Macaca mulatta: one gene and its partners. The protein of the gene in region 2 interacts with the protein of the main gene of each other region in a pairwise test. Links are inferred from orthologs where the notes say so. Each region holds a gene or a part of one and is shown on either strand. Other genes may lie near its edges. The genes, in order: NEBL, ZYX, CASS4, TUFT1 and VASP.

Evidence for each region.
Region 1: the proteins of ZYX (region 2) and NEBL interact in a two-hybrid assay, tested with the Homo sapiens proteins (2 studies listed by BioGRID and IntAct). The link is inferred for Macaca mulatta from reciprocal best matches to the Homo sapiens genes ZYX and NEBL.
Region 3: the proteins of ZYX (region 2) and CASS4 interact in binary tests that used the Homo sapiens proteins (3 or more experiments, as listed by UniProt). The link is inferred for Macaca mulatta from reciprocal best matches to the Homo sapiens genes ZYX and CASS4.
Region 4: the proteins of ZYX (region 2) and TUFT1 interact in binary tests that used the Homo sapiens proteins (3 or more experiments, as listed by UniProt). The link is inferred for Macaca mulatta from reciprocal best matches to the Homo sapiens genes ZYX and TUFT1.
Region 5: the proteins of ZYX (region 2) and VASP interact in binary tests that used the Homo sapiens proteins (3 or more experiments, as listed by UniProt). The link is inferred for Macaca mulatta from reciprocal best matches to the Homo sapiens genes ZYX and VASP.

Annotation. Positions count from the first base shown.
Region 1 is NC_133414.1:22,388,072-22,392,247, forward strand, and holds the start of NEBL (nebulette), read right to left. Parts: upstream 2,814-4,176; 5' UTR 2,396-2,813; coding exon 2,315-2,395; intron 2,217-2,314; coding exon 2,145-2,216; intron 1,448-2,144; exon of another isoform or gene 1,242-1,447; intron 1-1,241. UniProt on the Homo sapiens protein: Binds to actin and plays an important role in the assembly of the Z-disk. May functionally link sarcomeric actin to the desmin intermediate filaments in the heart muscle sarcomeres.
Region 2 is NC_133408.1:183,412,231-183,416,261, reverse strand, and holds the start of ZYX (zyxin), read right to left. Parts: upstream 2,811-4,031; 5' UTR 2,783-2,810; intron 2,638-2,782; 5' UTR 2,626-2,637; coding exon 2,418-2,625; intron 1,952-2,417; coding exon 1,752-1,951; intron 1,609-1,751; coding exon 1,516-1,608; intron 1,401-1,515; coding exon 879-1,400; intron 1-878. UniProt on the Homo sapiens protein: Adhesion plaque protein. Binds alpha-actinin and the CRP protein. Important for targeting TES and ENA/VASP family members to focal adhesions and for the formation of actin-rich structures.
Region 3 is NC_133415.1:109,181,014-109,184,960, forward strand, and holds the start of CASS4 (cas scaffolding protein family member 4), read left to right. Parts: upstream 1-1,141; 5' UTR 1,142-1,555; coding exon 1,556-1,591; intron 1,592-3,947. UniProt on the Homo sapiens protein: Docking protein that plays a role in tyrosine kinase-based signaling related to cell adhesion and cell spreading. Regulates PTK2/FAK1 activity, focal adhesion integrity, and cell spreading.
Region 4 is NC_133406.1:115,513,876-115,517,388, forward strand, and holds part of TUFT1 (tuftelin), read right to left. Parts: intron 3,123-3,513; coding exon 3,033-3,122; intron 1,492-3,032; coding exon 1,426-1,491; intron 1-1,425. UniProt on the Homo sapiens protein: Involved in the structural organization of the epidermis. Involved in the mineralization and structural organization of enamel.
Region 5 is NC_133424.1:58,051,507-58,055,019, reverse strand, and holds part of VASP (vasodilator-stimulated phosphoprotein), read right to left. Parts: intron 1,301-3,513; coding exon 1,216-1,300; intron 446-1,215; coding exon 396-445; intron 276-395; coding exon 34-275; intron 1-33. UniProt on the Homo sapiens protein: Ena/VASP proteins are actin-associated proteins involved in a range of processes dependent on cytoskeleton remodeling and cell polarity such as axon guidance, lamellipodial and filopodial dynamics, platelet activation and cell migration.

The DNA of each region.
Region 1 (4,176 bases), on a different chromosome or scaffold from region 2:
ACCCCCACAACACATTGGTTTTTTTTTTTTTTTTTTTTTTTGAGACAGAGTCTCGCTCTGTCGCCCAGGCTGGAGTACAGTGGCCGGATCTCAGCTCACTGCAAGCTCCGCCTCCCGGGTTCACGCCATTCTCCTGCCTCAGCCTCCGGAATAGCTGGGACTACAGGCGCCCACCACCTCGCCCGGCTAGTTTTTTGTATTTTTTAGTAGAGACGGGGTTTCACCGTGTTAGCCAGGATGGTCTCGATCTCCTGACCTCGTGATCCACCCGTCTCGGCCTCCCAAAGTGCTGGGATTACAGGCTTGAGCCACCGCGCCCGGCAACACATTGGTTTTAAAGTCACTGATAAACAATCTTACCCAAAACAACTCCAACAAAATCACCTACTAACTACAGTTACTACTTTAGTCCTGATGGTTTATGTAACACAAGTTAGCTCAGTTATAATTGCACTTCAATAAAAATATATCAAAGCTGGAAGAGGTTAGGAACTTAAGAGTTTTAGTAGGTAGCATTACTACTACTAATAGTAGCGTAATAATAATAAGGCAAAGAACAACATTTCATGGAAACCTACAGTGAGAGATAACTTGGCAGTGTAAGAGGGAGGCCTTTGTGTTCAAATATTACTGCCGCTGCTTAACTGTGTGACCCAGGCAAGGTACTGAACCTCTCTGTGCCTCTATCTCTTCACTTCAAAAATGAGAAACAGCATAGTGCCTACCTCGCAAGCTGCAATCCCTGCACATAGTAGTCACTAAATCTTAACTGTTGCCAATATTGTTATTGTTGTTGTTGTCGTCATTTATTATTATTGCAATTTACAAATAACTTTCACATACAATAGCTAATGACTATTAAGTAATAGCACAAAGAAATACTTAATTTAAAGGGTAATTACATCACATGTCAAGTATATGGGAAAGGGTATGATTTCCACCATCATCCTTTATGCTTGTCTTCTGGTTTGTCAAAAAGAGCCAGTCATATCTAAACTGTGATTGGATGGATGTAAAAGTAAGTAACAGACAGAGTAGTTAATAACAGCTAACATTTATGGAGTACTCACAATGTTCCAGATAGTTTATTCAGCATTTTAGATGCATTACCATTATTTAATCTTATTATAAATGTTACAGCTGAGGGATGGAGCCCAGCCAGGTTACATAACCTTTCCAAGGTTATTGTGGAGTCAACCCAGGCAGATTGACTTTGGAGGACGTGCCAGCCCATTGTCCTCCTGCCCAGGACTGACTTCCCTTTGAAAACAAACGTGCAAAACATTCTGATCATCTTGCTCATTATCAACAACAGAAACAACCAGTATTGTGCTCATCTCTCTAAATGAAGACACAGGCACATATTCACTCTACAGGAGTCACCCTTCCTCTGGACCAGCAATCCTCTTAGAACTGTTAATGAGGATCATCTAAATTCTCATTCCTGGTGAGCAACATTTTTCCTTGTACTTCTTGAATTCTAGCTTACATATTTAACATAAAACTATACGTTCAATCATTCAATATATTCTGGGATTCCCTTGAAGTGTAATATTGACCAATCCCAGTTACTAAAAAATGTCACAACAAAAATGCCCCTTGCACTAATATCCTTCTCTAATATCAGGGTTCTTAGCAAGCAGCTTGGTAATCCACAAATCCTGAATTGTAAATAGAAGTTATATGCATAGATATATATATATATGCATTTTCCTGTTCTGAAAGACAAGTCCATTCATTAGATTCTTCAGAATGCCCCAAAATGTTAAAAAATGACTACTCATTTAGATAGAGGGCCTCCCAAGACAAATTACATCATTACATTCATTTTAAAATCTTTGGGAGTTCTCAAATGGAATAAATACTGCAATTCAATGCCTTATGATTTCATGCCAGAGTGACAGCAAACCTCATAAGGGACAGGATTCTGGATTAAGAATGAGGAGACTTGCTCTAGCAGAAATTCTCTGTATAGGTGACCTTGGCGAAATCACTTAGAATTTCAGGACTTTGTTCCATGATCTGGAAAGTGACTGTGTTTTAAAAGGTGATTTCAGGGTTTCCCCCACAGCTCTATGCCTCTATAACATAATAATACCACAGGTGCAATGCAAAATAAGACAGAAAGTACTCCAGCCACTTACATCACTAATGAGTTGCATGCATTTTCTGGCCAATTCCATGCTTAAGTCTTCAATAACAGGCTTATAGAAGACCTATATGAAAAAAAAAAGAAAGAAAGAAAGAGAACATTTTTCTCATCATCAATTTAGAGGAACAAACGCTGGTCATGAGTATGTGTTTTCTTACTCACCCGGTCTTCTTCATTTTCTTCTTCCCCTATTGTTTCTTCTTCAGTTTCATCTTTTACATCCTCAAATACAGGGACCCTCATTTTTACCCTTTAAAATAGTTATTTTTAAAATTTACTCATGTGGCGTCCTTTTTTGTACCACAGTGCCCTTGAGATGCTGATGTCTCTGGTGCTCTGTTCGAAACGCCCTTGCCCAAGCCTCAGCCCTATTTAGCCCACACTTCACTCCTTATCTCAGTGGTGTGTGAGTGAACAGAACAGGATCCCAGAGGTCTACCAGGCTGGCCTCACAAGTGGACATAACATATTCTTGGGCAAAACTTGATTTTATGAACTTTTAAAGTCAACATTTTTTCCACTGGTTAAGAAATCCAAAAGAGAAAATTTATTTATCTTTTACTAATTCTATTCATTCATAAAAGAGTGTAAAAAGGACTTAGAGATTCCACAAAAACTACTCAGCTCTAACACTCAAGATAGCACAGTCCAAAGCCTGTTATCTCAAAGACTCCTCATCTCTGTCTAAATAAAGCTTTCACTGGAATGTCGGACTTCTTTCTGACTTGGGGTAGAGAATCTGGATCATTCAAGCTCATTTTGTTAACCCAAATTATATGTTTTATCAGACACACCAGTACTTCTCACATCCTAAAAAATACCCACTTTATATTAGCTGATTAGAGGCTAGTTATTTATTATGAAAAGCCCTTTGAACCACTTCAAAGAATCTATTCTGAGTTAATGATGACTGTTAGTCTTATACTGGCGAGTATGGTATTGTATTAATTGTAAACATCATTAAACATGAGAAGTTGCAGTTAACACACGTTGATATATAATTTAACAATTCTAGAAACATCACTGTTTCAAAAATAATCATCATCATCTTTGAATTCTGCAATTCTACTCATCATGTCAATTTTTACAGATTCATTGGTGATGTGCATTATTACTCAATGGGTACCCCACATTCAGAAAAGTTTGGAAAAATAAACCATCACAATATTTATAATGTGGTATGTGTCCTTGGTTATGTAAAACCAAGGTTAAAAATACATTTTTCAAAACAAATATTTTAATGTCAATTCAGGCAATTCCAAGACTCTCTACAACTCACGATTTATTAATCTGGTTATTTAAATCCTAGGGGAAATTAATTTTACCAAGTCATAGCATATTAGCGTCGGGCATAAAAAAATACTCTACAAGGAATAGTAATACTGATGACAGAAAATACAAATTTATTAAAAATAATACATCATTCTAAGTAGCCAAGCATAACTCTTTTTCTCTTGATATCATATCTAGTTTTCAATGTGTTATTAAAAAAATGCCTCGGCCTTACCTAAACTGAAAACCCTAACAAGAAAAACATTCTACACAGTCATCGTGTACAAATTATTTCTGAAATTGTGTTTCATGAGGCAAAAGTTCCACAAAAGATTCTGGGGGAGAAGAGCAGGTTTCTTAAACAAATACGTTTGGGAAATCTGTACCCCAATCTCTGCCCCTGCCACTTAGAGATCTACAAGGCATACTGACACATTAGAAGTTCTGAGAAGACCTTCAACCAAAAAACCTACTTAGGCTTGCTTAACCTCCTTTTCCCCTGAACACAAAACCTATCTATCTCATCAAATCTAATCCAATTTAATCTAATCTACCTACCTACCTATCTTTCTATCTACCTATCACTTTTTTTTAATTATACCCACTACCCCAGAAAACTAACACTCCTCTGTGAAATATGACCTATTACTGAGGGAAATATTGCTCTATTCTGCTAAAATGTTGTGTTCTAGAAGGAGCTATTGGTCTTGAACTAGTTTTTGATAAAGGCTAAATTAATGGTATCACATATC
Region 2 (4,031 bases):
GCATTTCTTCCTATGCTGTGTCTGAGTGTAAGCAGACATCCACACTATCAGTGGACTCTATGGATGCTTGGACCAGCATCATCATCACCAGAAACTGGAAGGTCTTATTTCCTGAACTAGAAGGCAAGAACCATTTTGTAATTACAGCTTTTGTATTTTGAGCATTCATGTGCTAGATACAGAACCCAACACTCTCTAGGTTATTAGTTCACCTAATCTTTACAATCACTGTATGGAGTAGATAATGTTAAAGATTGAGAAACTGAGGCTCAGGGTTCACCTAACTTGCCCAGTCTAAGGGCTTGGGAGAAGCCCGAACCAGGAATTCCATTCCAGGTCCATCTGACACCTGAAGGCTGAGCTTCTTGCAGAGATCTCGTCCTTCCCATGTCCTACCCTCCTGAGCACAGAGCACAGTGCCTGGCACGTGGTAGATGCTGGCTCAGCCTATGTTTACTGGGGCTGACTCTTATCTCCAAGCCCTCAGGCAGAAAGAGTGCTCAGAGGAGCAGGGAGATTAAGTCAAGACCCAAGAATGGGAAAAACCAAGGTGGGACTGGTGATCTCATCCCTCCCTTTAACTTTCTGGGGTAAAGGCGCAAGGAAAGGTCCACCAGATCCTCCTAATTCAGAGCCTGTGCTCTCTGTGCCCTCCCAGCCAGGCCCCACCCAGCCCCACACCCAGCCAGGCCTCTCCTCCAGAAGAGCATTTTCTTACCACTGTTCCACCAGGCTAACCTCAGAGGATGAAACTTCCTATCCCGCCACCCCCGTGTCCACCCTGACTCTCCAATCACCTTCATGCTTCTGTTCTGGCTCCTGACTCAGCCCCGCCCCAGCACCCGGGTCCCAAGCCTTGTCCTATCACCATCCCTTACCTGGTTTTGGTTCTGAGCCGGTGCGGGCACTGGGTGCTGCTTCTCCTGCACTCGGGGCTTCTCCCTCTGCTGAGCATAGGTGAAGCTGGGAGGTTGAGGGGAGCCTGTGCCAGCGGAAAGAGCTTCGGGATGCCCCAATTTTTGATTTGGCTGTGACCCAGATCCACCTGGGGCTCCAGGACTGAACTTGGAAGCCACGGGAGTAAACTTAGGAGTCACTGGAGAAAACTTAGGGGCTGGAGCTGGCGATGAGGCTGGGGGACCTCGGGGCTGGGTGTTAGCCAAAGACACAGGCTGGGGCTGGGACTGGACATGGAGTTGGACCTGAGGCTTGGGCTGGGGCTGGGGCTGAACATGGAACTGTGTCTGGCTCTGAGCTGGAGCCGGAACCTGGGGCAGAGGCTGGGAGCTGGAAGGGGCCTTCCAAGGAGGCAGGGGTGCTGTGCCCCCAGCTGCAGGCTTAGTACTGGACTTGGAAATGAATGGAGTGGCCACTGGTGGGGGGACATATCCAGATGACACCTGCAAGGGGTGGGAGAGGGAAGAGAGATGCAGACAGGAGGACACCATCCTCCATAGCTCTATCCCCTGTCTCTCTGGCCCTGGGCCCTGCTTTTCCTACTTTGCGGTCCCTTACCCGAGCTTTGAAAGGATCATTCTTGGTCATGTCATCCAGCAGTGAGGACAGAGAGTCGATCTCCAAATCAATACTGCTCACCTTCTCCCTGGGCTAGAGGGTCAGAGGTCAGAGCACCTATTCCATGCCTCCATTCCCCCCACCCCCAAGGCAGAGGTGCAGGGGAGGTAAGAAAGGGCCCTCTTCTCCTCGCCTTGGGGGTGTCCGGTACAGCCGCCCCTCCCAGGCCTCCATACCTGCGGTGGGGACGGTATGGGGGCCTCAGGCCCTCCCTCCTCTTCCAGAGGAGGCGGCGGGGAAGGGAAGATCTCCTCCTCCAGAGGCGCAGGGGGAAATGATTCCTCGATCGGCGGAGGGGGCGGCGGGAAGGCACCTCCCAGAGCACCCTCCGCATCGTCGCCATCCCCGGCGAGGGGAGGTGGAGGCAGGGGAAAGTCTGGGGTAGGAAGGAGAAAGACGTCGCCCGGGGTCCCTCTGCCCCTCACCCAAGCTCCCCTCGGTTTACCGCTCTAACCCCTAACCCAAGAATTCTCTCGAGGGTCCCAGAGCGTGTGGGGACGCAAAGGCGGGGCGCAGGGCGCCCTGGGAGTACCAGGTCAGGAAAGGCCGGGGGCACGGCCGAGGAGTGGTGCAGCTCCCGTTACACTTCGGAAAACGGACCCGGAGGGGAAGATTCGTGCCCCACATTCCCGCCTCCCACCCCCAAGCGGGGGACTTGGAACGGTCCCAGGAGCTCTGGCTCCCAGCCACGAGCTCCACGATGAGGTAAGAACATCTGCTCGGGACAGGGTGGCTGCGCCCAGCCCCCTAGGCAACAACCTTTCCAGACATCCCCAGATTCCCGAAACAGTGCCCCCCCTCCGGCGCCCGCTGGGGTCCAGCCCCCAAGCCCCGCCGCATACCTTCCGGGGGCGGCGGGGGAATCTCGCCCACCCGGCCCATCTGTGCGCGCTGGGCCCCGGGTGCCGGGGGAGGCTCGCTGTCCCCGGGCCGGAAGGGATTCACTTTGGGTTTTGGGGCCACCACAGGGCCGAACTTCTTCTGGGGGGCGTAAAAAGCCGGAGCCGAGACCGAAACGGAGATCGCGGGAGACGGGCGGGGGGCCGCCATGGCCGGGCCGGGCTGCTGGGGTGGGTCGCCGGGTTACGCAGCGCAGAGCCCGGCTCAGGAGCCCCGGGCGGTCCCAGCTCCCCTTGGCGACCCCCATGCGCCCCCTCCCGGCGCCCCGCGCCCCCTCCCCGTGGGGCCGCCCTGCCGCTCCCCGCACCTCACCGCGGGCCGGAGCGTGCGCGCCGCGTCTCGGGTGGCCTCCTCGGCGCCGGGTCCACGGACTCTGCGTCCCAGTCCGGAGCAGCCTCCAGCCGGGCGGGGAGGGACACACGGAAGGAGGAGGGAGGGAGGAGGGAGGGGGCGGGGAGAGAGCGGCGCCCAGACCATACAAGGAGCGGCCCGGAGAGGGGGCGGGGAGAGCGGGGAAGGGCGGACCAGGCAGGAAACTCCCCCAGGAAGGGGCCCTGATCCTGCCTCAGGCCAGAGGCTCCGCCGAGGTCCGCCCGCCGCCACCCCACTCCACTCACTGCCGCCCCCGCCGCCCCGGCCCGGCTCAGACCCCCGCTCCCTGAGCACAGGCCTCTGATGTCATTTCCTGACCTGCCCTCCCCCCATGCCCGACCCGCGGGTGCCCGAGATCTGACTCACCGTCCCCCTCCGGGCTTAGCCGGCGGAGGTGGGGCGGTGCCGCAGAGGTAGCCACGCAGCCCCTGTGCGCCTCCGGCCCGGCCCAGCGACCTCCTCTCCGGCCTGCAGTTACCCGGTCCCCTCCCGCCACCACCCGCTACCCGACCACCTCCGAGTCCGCCTGGGGTGGCCGAACGTATGGAGCTGGGCTCCAGGGTGCACAAGGATGGGGGATGAGGAGCGGGGCGTTCTCCCTCCCAGCACCCCCCAGCTGACTCTGTGCTCGGAGGGGGTGTGTGAGCTGGAACCTCCAGCATTCTCGGGGATACGAACTTCCAACGCTGGGCAGCCTCTTAAGGCTTCTAGGAATTCGCATCCTCCGCGCCCCCGCCATAGGATCGGTTGCGAGAGGGACCGTTCGGGCCCGCGGGGCCGGGAATGGAGGTGGGAGGGCGGGGCCGAGGCGGCGGCCGCCTGCGGACTGGGGACCCGGGAGGACGGACGCGGACGCGGGCTGCTAGTCTTTTACAGCTCTTCAGCGCCCACCACTACCCACTCCTCTAGAAGACCCCGGGCGACGGTGGGGCTCTTGGGCATTCTGAGACTGCGCTTGGTGGAGCCCCCTACTGGCCCGACCAGATTTCTCAGCCTGCGACTCAGCCCCAGGCTACGCGAAAGAGGCCGGACCCGGGTAATTCTTCTAGTTGTTCTTCTTCTTCTTCTTCTTCTTCTTCTTCTTCTTCTTCTTCTTCTTCTTCTTCTTCTTCTTCTTCTTCTTCTTCTTCTTCTTCTTCTTCTTCTTCTTCTTCTTCTTCTTCTTCTTCTTCTTCTTCTTCTTC
Region 3 (3,947 bases), on a different chromosome or scaffold from region 2:
CTATCACCTGCAGTATGCCAATTACTTGGCTCTGGAAGTTAATTTCTAACAACGATAACATTTAAAAATATGGACTGTCTCGGCCAGAAATCAGTCAGCTACTTCAATGGGTAAAATATGTCCTGGTGCCCAGACTTGTGGGGACTACACACCGGACAACCGGAAGACAAGACGCTAAGGCTGTCTGTTGAACTTGTCTCAGAGGCGTGGTAAAAGAAAAGAAGAAAATTTAAAAATAAAAAATAAAAAGATGCTGTCTGACAAGAAGAGAGCAGTGAGCGGAGACACAGCTGGCTGGGGATGGAACTTGAGCCTGGCTTGGAAGAATGGGTACCATTTTGTCTAAATAAAAATGAAGGCCAGGTCCAGGCGTGGTGGCTCACACCTGTAATCTCAGCAGTTTGAGAGGCTGAGGTGGGTGGATCACTTGACATCAGGAGTTTGAGACCAGCTTGGCCAAGATGGTGAAGTCCTGTCTACACTGAAAGTACAAAAATTAGCCAGGCGTGGTGGTGGGTGCCTGTAATCCCAGCTGCTTGGGAGGCTGAGGCAGGAGAATCACTTGAACCCGGGAGGTGGAGGTTGCAGTGAGCCGAGATAGCACCACTGCGCTCCAGCCTGAGTGACAGAGAAAGACTCCATCTCAAAAAAAAAAAAATGCAGACTTACTTTGCACAGTGTCTGCTATGCTGTAGGTCCTCTCTAGAGGTTGGATCTGAATGTAGGGAAAGTAGAAAGAGTTGGCAAGTGATGAGAAACTGCATGAGCTAGCGGGGGTTTCAAGTACAGCACACGCGATTGGTTGATTTGATTTAAGAGAGAGAATACAGGTGTGGGACTCAGCATAGCCCTCAGTGCAGAGCCAGCACCCAGAAGATGTTAATCATTAGGTACCGTGAGCAAAGACCAGGAGGTGAGCACGGGGTTCCGAGCAGGGAGAATGCGCAACTGACAGGGTGGGTAGAGTGGAGACTGTGTCCTTTAAGGCAGCCTGCTTGACTGCTTTTATCCTGGCTGTCATAAGGCAAGTTTTTGGGAGCAGGAAGGAAGAAAAGCTGACCGCTATCGGAAATTTGGCTTAGTGGCCTCTCATCAGGGAAATGAGCTTGGTCTGTCGGGTGGGAGTTGTTCCCCAGAGTTCAAAGGACAAGAATGCTGTATGTTCATACACTGAGCTCTTCAAAGTAGGAACTTCGCCCTATAAAGCAGAAGAGTGGTGTTTTTCTTTTCTTCTTCTTCTTTTGTGGTTTCACATAGCAAATGAGTGACGGTCTCTACTTATAGACAAAGTGAGACGTCAGGCAATGAGGCGTGAGTGTGGCTTGTATTTCTGGTTCTCCCCTCCTTCACTGCTTTCATTTTACTCTTATCGTGCTTTCCAGAAAGTTCGCCTGCTGGGAGAGTCTTTTTGATCGTTTCCCGTGTGTTGTCAGATAGCACCATAGAATTCAGTTTCTGAGAACCAGCCAGAAGCATGCAGTGACATTGCATAATCTGCCTCTGAAGCCGGAGATATTAGCCGTAGAGCTCAGGGCAGCTGCTCCACATCACCGACATGAAGGGAACAGGCGTCGTGGACGGTGCGCCCAAGGTGAGTGATGCGGGGCTGTTTGAATGGGCTCTGGCAGGGAGCAAGCTGTGATGATTAAGGGTATTGACCAGCTTTAGTTGTGACTTTCTAATAAAGGCAAAGGTTGAATACCAGTGACGTGTGAGTTTGAGATTGGAAAGTTTAACATAAGTTTAAGTGTGGGAAATAGATGTGCTGTAAAGCTCCTTAGCAGTTTGCATCCAAGATGGGTGAAAATGACCTTGTAGTAGAAATCAGCTTACTTGGTTGACAGCACCGTCCATCATTTTGTGTCCAGCAAACTTCTGAAGCAAGATGTGAGTCTGCCTCAGCCCCCACTAATTCCTTCTTTCTCTGGACCCCAAAGACACTCAGTGCCACTCCAACTGTTCTGATTGATTTCTGTGCTCACCTCGCAATAGCAGAGCCCAGACCCTTGCCTGTAGCCTCCTGTGCTGAGCCCACAGTGGGCAGTTACATGTTATTTTCATGTTTACTTGTGCATTATGTGAGCAAAGCTGGAGCTTTCAGACAGACTTCATGCCTGTCATGAATCAAAAAAGATTCACTATTTAGAAAGGTAAAAGAAGCCAGGCACAGTGGCACATACCTGTACTCCCAGCTACTGGAGAGGCTGAGGTGAAAGGATTAATTGAGCCTAGAAGTTTGAGTCCAGCCTGGGCAACATAGCAAGACCCCATCTCAAAAAAAAAAAGTTAAAATGGTTACCATATTTAAAAAATTTACCCAGATGTAAAGAAAGTGAAGCTCAAGATTGTGTTTTCATCTTGCTATGCCCTTTTTAAATTTTAAGTAGAACAGTAAAAAAGAAATGAAACAAGTACTAAATGGGGAGCTTGCTTATAAAAAAATCAATGCTTATTTTTAATTATAATAAAAGTGACTAGTGTGGCTGGGTGCAGTGGCTCACACCTGTAATCCCAGCACTTTGGGAGGCCAAGGCAGATGCATCACTTGAGACCAGGAGTTTGAGACCAGCCTGACCAAGACGAAAAACCCCATCTCTACCAAAAATACAACAATTAGCTGAGCATGGTGGTGCATGCCTGTGATCCCAGCTACTCGGGAGACTGAGGCACAAGAACTGCTTGAGCCTGGGAGGCAGAGGTTGCAGTGAGCTGAGATTATACCACTGCACTCCGGCCTAGGTGACAGAGCAAGACTCTGTCTCAAAAAAATCAAAACTAAATAACAAAAGAAAAAAATTGTAAAAGTCACTAGTGGAATTTATGGCTGAGTAACCCATGATAGTCTCTCTTATATAGATTATATGTAAATACCTTAGCTACCCTAGAATTTTGTCCCCAACTACTTACTTTGAAAATTTTCAAACCATTGGAAAAATATGGGGAGCGTGGGGATTATTCAGTAAATCCCTGCATACCTTTCACCTAGATCATGGGTTGATGGTACTTTGTCATATTTGTGTACATCTATTTGTATATATTTAGACACTGGAACACACTTTGTTTTTATTGTTGTTAAACTCTTTGAAAATAAATGGCCAATACAATGATGCTCCACCCCTAAACTTCATTATGTGTCTCCTAAGAACAGAACGTAGAAGAATATCCACATATCATCATCCCCAAGAACATTTCACATTGATTTAATAATGCCATTCTACGATTCAGTCCAATTCACACTGATTTAATAATGCCATTCTACGATTCAGTCCAATTCATATTTTCCAAAGTGATCCTTTGTAGCTTTTCTGGCTGTTGTTATTTGTTTGTGTGTTTGTCTTTCTGATCCAGGTATTGTTTGTCAATTCTCAGTTCTTAATCTAGAACAGTCTACTACCTTTTTCTCTTTCATAACATTGACCTTTTTTCTAAATAGCCTAGATTTTTTTTTATGATTTAGACTTCTTTTTATGTGCTGCTTATTCTGCCTAAATAATTTATGTAGCACTTTACAATTGGGTGGGGTTTCGTTATTTAAAAATAATATATTTAGCAATGGGGGTATCACTCTGTTGTCCAAGCTGGACTCAAATTCCTGAACTCAGGTGATTCTTCTGCCGCAGCCTCCCAAGTAGCTGGGACTACAGGTGCACACCTCCGAGCCCCACTGCAATTTGTAAATAACATGCATGTATGCGTAGAACATGTAATTGATATTCCCAGCATCCCCATGAAATTCTGCTATTAATATTATACAGATAGGCTGGGATCGGTGGCTCACACCTGTAATCCCACCACTTTCAGAGGCTAAAGCGGGTGGATCACTTGAGGTCAGGAGATTAGCCTGGCCAAAATAGTGAAACCCCATCTCTACTAAAAATACAAAAAAATTAGCTGGGCGTAGTGGTGCACGCCTGTATTCCCAGCTATTTGGGAGGCTGAGGCAGGAG
Region 4 (3,513 bases), on a different chromosome or scaffold from region 2:
AAAGCCATATATTGAATTCATTAGAGTGAGTGCCTCTTGCAGGAGGTGGAGAGGCAAAAAAACCAAAAAACAAAAACTAAAACCAGTGAGAGGACTTGACAGGACCCACGAGGACGATGTGCCATGAACTAATGGGTGGGTCTGATTCAACCTATACCTGAGGGCCAAAAACACCAAATGCCAAAACATACCCAACTAAAGAAACAAAAAAAAAAAAACAATTATAAAGACATGCCACATACTGTACAATGTGAATATTATAAATATATATTTGCATTCAGGGAAAGATGAAATTTCACTGTGGTTTTTCTCTGAGTAGATTACAAGCGACATTTTTTTCTTCTTTCACTTTTCTGTGTTTCTGAATTTTCCAAATTTTCTACAGTATGAATGTTTGGTATTATATAATCACAAAAAAACATAATAACACACTTTTAAAAAATACAGTCATGGTGGCCGGGTGCAGTGGCTCATGCCTGTAATCCTAACACTTTGGGAGGCCGAGGTGGGTGGATCACCTGAGGTCAGGAGTTCGAGACCAGCTTGGCCAACATGGTGAAACCCCATCTCTACTAAAAATACAAACATTAGCCAGGCGTGGTGGCTCATGCCTGTAGTCCCAGCTACTCAGGAGGCTGAGGCACGAGAATTGCTTGAACCCAGGAGGCGGAGGTTGCAGTGAGCCAAGATCACACCACTGCACTGCATCCTGGGTGACAGAGTAAGACTCTGTCAGTCAATCAGTCAATTGATCAAGTACAGCCATGGAAGGAAATACTATGTAGTTATTCAAAAGAATGAGGTAGATCTATTATATACTGACATGGAAAGAAGGTTATAATATACTCTTTAGTTAAAAAAAAAAAGCAAGCAAAGAAAAATGTATTTACCATCCTATAGTTGAGAAAAGCACATATATATTATATACATATATTTATCATGTATATATGGTATGTATATAACATATACATGATATTTAAATATGGTTGTCTATGTATATAAAAATATTCTAGAATACTGGCACTCAACTTTAGCTAAACATTAGTATCACCTGAAGAGCTCTTAAAAGTCCTGATGCCCAGGCCACCTATTGGAACAATGAAATGACAAGCTCTAGGGATGGGACCCAGGCATCATATCCTTTAAAGCTTGCAAGGCCATTCCAATGAGCAGCTGAGGCTGAGAAGCACTGCCCTAGAAAGATCCACCCACTTCAATCTGTTAACAGTGGATACTTGTAAGGAGTGAGATTGGGGAAGGAGAATTTCCACTCTTTATATTTCTCTTGTTGTTTGAATTTTTATGTCAACTACTACTCTTGTATTTAATGAGAGAGAGAGAGAGAAAGCAATAAACAAAAGGATGGGGAGGAGGCAATCCTGCCCCTGGCTAAGCAGAGCCACCGTTGTGTCCTCTGTTACCCACCTCAGGTGGGCTGCTGTACAGGGCCGTGGGACTCTGACTAAAGCCATTTGGCTTTTCTAGCACCACCTGTTCAAAGAAAAATAAAACTGGGAGTTAAAACAGATGAAAGCAACCAACTTTGAACATTATTCTCCTAACACTCAAATCTTAGAGAAAGACAGGGAGAGAGAGAGGAAGGTGAAAGGGAGGCAGGGAGAGAGAAAAAGACAGGGAGGGAGAAAAAGGAAGGAATTAAGAAAAGAAAAGAGGAAGAGGGAAGGAAGGGAAAGAAAAAAAGATTCCTAGTGTTCCCAGAGAAAACAGAAACAAGAGGGGGTGGAGAAATGTGTGTGGCCTTGAAAGGGAACACCCTAGCCTTATAGGGAGGATGAAAAAAAACCTCAGGCTAAAACCTTTCAGCAGATAGAAAAGTATGTGTAGTCCATTCTTCTTAGCCAGGGAATAAGTGCAGCTGCCTGACACAAACAAAGAGTTTCCCTTGCCCCCAGGGATCCTGGCAAAGTTTGACAAAGCAAAAATTACAAAGGGAAGCCTTTTTAAATTATTTCTGACCCAAAGCCTGATTATTCATCATATGACAGCTGGTTTGGGCAAACAAGGGGACTGGACTTTGGGCCAGTCTCTGTGCACATTAGGTTCTTCTGCCACCTGACAAAGGAGCTCCCACCAGCCAGATGTGAGCTCAGGCACTGAAAGGCCTGCCTTCAGCCAAAGCAAAAATTAGGAAATGTTCCACCACACAAGTGCATGTCCAAGACAAAGAACTTTCCTTGCACCAGCTGCTGGGCCGCTGTTCCCCTCAAGGGAACGAAGGCAGGGGCTGCTGCTGGAGCAAGACACCCTGCCCGAACCAAAATGCAAATCAAAGATACAACTCAGAATCTAAAGGATGAGGGCGAAGTCACAAAGAGACAGCTCTGTTCTCCCAAGGGCATGTCTATCTTCGAGTTTTGGAAAAACTGAAAAGCAAGATCCCAGGATTATCCATCCCAGGAAAGACTTATCCAATCTGTTCAGTCTAACAAACATTTACTGATGCCTTCTACATCCCAGACCTGGGGAGAGAGGGAGGGTGAGGATACAGACACGGGATGGGGGTGGGGTGAACTCCTAACCTTGAGGAGCTTCCCATCCCAGGTTAGACATAACTATATAGAAGATTAATAACAGGCTAGGGCACGGACTTCAATTCACACTACAGGTGCCACCCAAACTAAGCAAGATCAGCTTATGAGAAGTGTGGATTTACAGGTGATTGTCTGCTTTATAAAATTCCATTATTACAGGAAGCTTGATCACAGAATCCTTATAGATAAGAGGCTTTGCTAACAACTGATGATATTTAATTTGTGTAAGTTCAATTTCTGTACAATGTTTCAGGAGCAGGTGTACTTATGCTTAAGCTGACATGTGTAAATGTAAGTGCTCATCGGCTGGAGAGTCCTAACCAGATTGTGAGTGCTCCAGAGAAGCCAGCATCACCTCTATTTTCTCCATTCCTGGCAGAGATGCCAGACTGAGCACACACTGGGTAATTGGTAAATGAGACTGCCTGGCACAACCCCACTTCCTCGGTGGGGACCCAACCATGGACCGTTTCCTATTACCTGTATCTCCTGTCGATGGAGAGAATCTCCTAGGTCCCTGTCAAGCTTGCTACTTATATCCTCCCGGAGCTTCTGTAGGCAGTTCCTGGCCTGGGAGGGGAGGGGAAGAAACTTGAGCTTTAGGGTAGAGAAAGAGAGCACGCCAACTCACCCAACTCTGTGCACCATCCCCGGCCTGGACTATGAGTCAGGCACTGTCCTAACTACTGGCCGTAGGATGGAGAGAGGTACCCTGGTCAAGTGGGGCTACAGCTGACATTCTTGTTGGGGAGACACACACAACACAAAAGACAAATAAGTAAAATGTGTAATATGTTATATGGGCATAAGTGCCCATGAGAAACATGAGCCAGGAAGGGAGTGAAGAAATGCTGTGAAAAGTTGGCTGGTAATTTTCGATAGGTGGCTGGGGACAGTGCTAGGCACATAGTACTTAAGTATCCGTGGATTAATGGATCACGTATGAAGGGTCGAAAGTTAT
Region 5 (3,513 bases), on a different chromosome or scaffold from region 2:
TGTTGCCCCTTCCCACCTCTCCTGGCCCCTCACCTTGCTGACTTTCCTGAGTTTGGCTCCAGCAATAGCTGCGGCCAGGCCTGGGGCCCCAGCTCCCCCACCACCAGGACCCTGTGCTGCCGGGAGAGGGGGTGCAGGGGGTGGTCCTCCCCCTGCTCCATGTGCTGCAGCTGGGACCCCCGAGGAGGGCAAACCTGGGGGTGGGGGGGGACCTGGAGGAGGGGGAGGTCCTGGTGGTGGGGGTGGACCCCCAGCTGGGGGAGCAGGTGGGCCTCCTGAAACAAACACAGAAAAGGGGGCAGCTGAAAGAGAAGCTTCGTTCTTCACTGTCCAGCTAGCTGGCCTCTTCCTCCAGGGAGGCCCCCTCCCAACTCCCGAAGCCATCTGAGCATCACCTGCATTGGAGACCCGGCGCTCTAGGTGCTCCGACGGGCCGGACTGCTGCCTGTAGGGGGAGGTGAGGGAGCTGCCGTCAATCAGGGCCCTAAGGATGACCAGGGAAGGGGCCAGCGACCTCCATCCTCTCTCTCAGAGGTCTCCAGGGACGCTGGCTCCTAATCCTCACCCAAGCCTTCCTCCCCTAGGGAACCAAGAATGGGGGTGGGTGAGAGTGGGGGGAATGGAGGGCAGGGCAGTGACAGGGAGAGATCGAATGCAAGATCTCAGTCACTAAACTGTCAGGAACACCCGAATGACAAAATGCCCAAGATTCTTTTTTTTTTTTTTTTTTTTTTTAAAGACAGAGTCTCACTCTGTCACCCAGGCTGGAGTGCAGTGGCTCGATCTTGGCTTACTGCAACCCCCGCCTCCCAGGTTCAAGCGATTCTCCTGCTTCATCCTCCCAAGCTGGGATTACAGGCACGGGCGCCACCATGCCCGGCTAATTTTTGTATCTGCAGTAGAGACAGGATTTCACCGTGTTGGCCAGGCTGGTCTCAAACTTCTGACCTCAGGTGATCTGCCCGCCTCAGCCTCCCAGAGTGCTGGGATTACAGGGGTGAGTCACCACGCCCAGCCACGAGATTCTTTCAACCACCATATTCTGATTTCCAGGAATCTGCAGGGACCAGGAGGTTCTGCAACTCTCAGTGTCAGAAATTTCTTGAACATTCTGAAAACTGCAAGTTGGCTGGGTTCTGAACTCTAGGAGTCAAGGGTTCCAGAACGTATGGAACTGGCCGTGGCTAAGGTTCCCCACCCAGGGCCCAGCCCCACCTTTTCTGCTGCTCCACCTCCTCCAGGGAGGGACCGTTCGGGACCGACCAGGTGGGAGGTGCTGGGGGTGGAGGGGGCCCACCTCCTGGAAGGTGAGAGAGAAAGGGCCACAAGTCAGTCCCGGAACTCTGCTCAGCCCTTGGCGTTTCCCTTGCTCTTCCAGGCCTCCCAGGAATCCTGCCCAGGGGCACTCACTTCCTCCTTCCTGAGGCCCTGAGGCTCCAGGCCCAGGAGGACACACCCTGGGAGGTGAGGCAGCACCAGCCTCCCTGGCCTGAGTTGCCCTAAGGCAGGTGTTGTTGTGATGTCCCAGTGACAGGAGAAGCTAAGGCCCAGGGGACAGTCACTTGCCCCAAAGTTCTCCAGGTTGGAATGTGCAGGAACAAGACTTGAATTCAGGCCGATTCCAGCAGCCAGGCTCTTAACCACTGTTGGTTTGTTTCGAGACAGAGTCTCACTGTCACCCAGGCTGTGGAATGCAGTGGCGCAATCACGGCTAACCACAGTCTCAGTCTCCCCAGGCTCAGGTGATCCTCCAACCTCAGCCTCCCGAGTAGCTGGGACTACGGGCACATTTCACCACGCCTGGCTAATCATTTTTTTTTTGTACAGATGGGATTTTGCTATGTTACCCAGGCTGGTCTCAAACGCCTGAGCTCAAGCTATCCAACCACCTCGGCCTCTCAAAGTTCTGGGATTACAGACATGAGCCACAGCACCTGGCCAGCTCGTTTTTTTTTTTTTTTTTTTGAGATGAAGTCTCGCTCTTGTCCCCCAGGCTGGAGTGCAATGGTGTGATCTTAGCTCGCCGCAACTTCCGCCTCCCGGGTTCAAGAGATTCTCCTGCCTCAGCCTCCTGAGTAGCTGGGATTATAGGCACCTGCCACCATCCTGGCTAATTTTTGTATTTTTAGTAGAGATGAGGTTTCACCATATTGGCTAGGCTGGTCTCAAACTCCTGACCGCAAGTGATCCACTCGCCTCGGCCTCCCAAAGTGTTGGGATTACAGGCGTGAGCCACTGCACCTGGCCCCTGGCCAGCTCTTAACCACTGTCACAGCCACTTGGACCTTACCTAAGAACCTGGAAAGGTAAAGAGCTTCTTCCTCACCTACCTCCAGGCTGCTGGCCCCAGCACCCACCTGAATTGAATTGGCTATGAATTAACAAGAATTAGCCCCATTTTACAGATGACTACACTGAAGCGCACTGTATTTTTCTGTGTGCCCCAGAGGAGCAAACCCCTTCCGCACTAGCACAGAAGTTGCCCCACAAAGCAAACACCGCTGCATTTGGTGACTTTCAGTTCTACAGCAGTGATTCCAGGCCAGATGCATGGCAGTCACATAAAACCTCGCTACTCAGTCACATCCGCGGACCAGCAGCCTCGGTATCACCAGGGCACTTGTGAGAATGCAGAGTCTCAGTCTCCCTAGCCCATTTGCACCGGAGCCTGCACTGTAACCATATCCCCAGGTGATTCATGTGCATGTTAAGGTTTAAGAAATAGCAACTGGGCTGGGCGCCTGGCTTGCTCCTGTAATCTCAGCACTATGGGAGGCCAAGGCGAGTGGATCACCTGAGGTCAGGAGTTCGAGATCAGCCCGGCCAACGTGGCGAAACCCCGTCTCTACTAAAACTACAAAAATTAGCCAGGCATGGTGGTATGCACCTGTAGTTCCATCTACTCGGGAGGCTGAGGCAGAATTGCTTAAACCCAGGAGGCAGAGGTTGCAGTGAACCGAGATCACACCACTGCACTCCAGCCTGAGACAGACAGACACTCCATATCAAAAAAAAAAAAAAGGAAGAAAAAAAAAGAAAAGCAACTGGACTGGGTGTAGTGGCTCATGCCTGCAATCCCAGCACTTTAGGAAGCTGAAGTGGATCACTTGAGCCCAGGAGTTTGAGACCAGCCTGTAGACCATCTCCACAAAAAGTAAAAAAGCAATTTTGAAATGATCCAGGTGGCTGGGCGTGGTGGCTCACACTTATAATCCCAGCACTTTGGGAGGCAGAGGCAGGTGGATCACTTGAGGCCAGGAGTTCAAAACCAGCCTGGCCAATATGGTGAAACCCCTTCTCTACTAAAATTACAAAGGCCAGGCGTGGTGGCTCACACCTGTAATCCCAACACTCTGGGAGGCCTAGGCGGGCGGATCACGAGGTCAAGAGATCGAAACCATCCTGGCTAACATGGTGAAACCCTGTCTCTACTAAGGACACAAAAAATTACCCGGGTGTGGTGGCTCATGCCTGTAGTCCCAGCTATTCGGGAGGCTAGGGCAGGTGAATCGT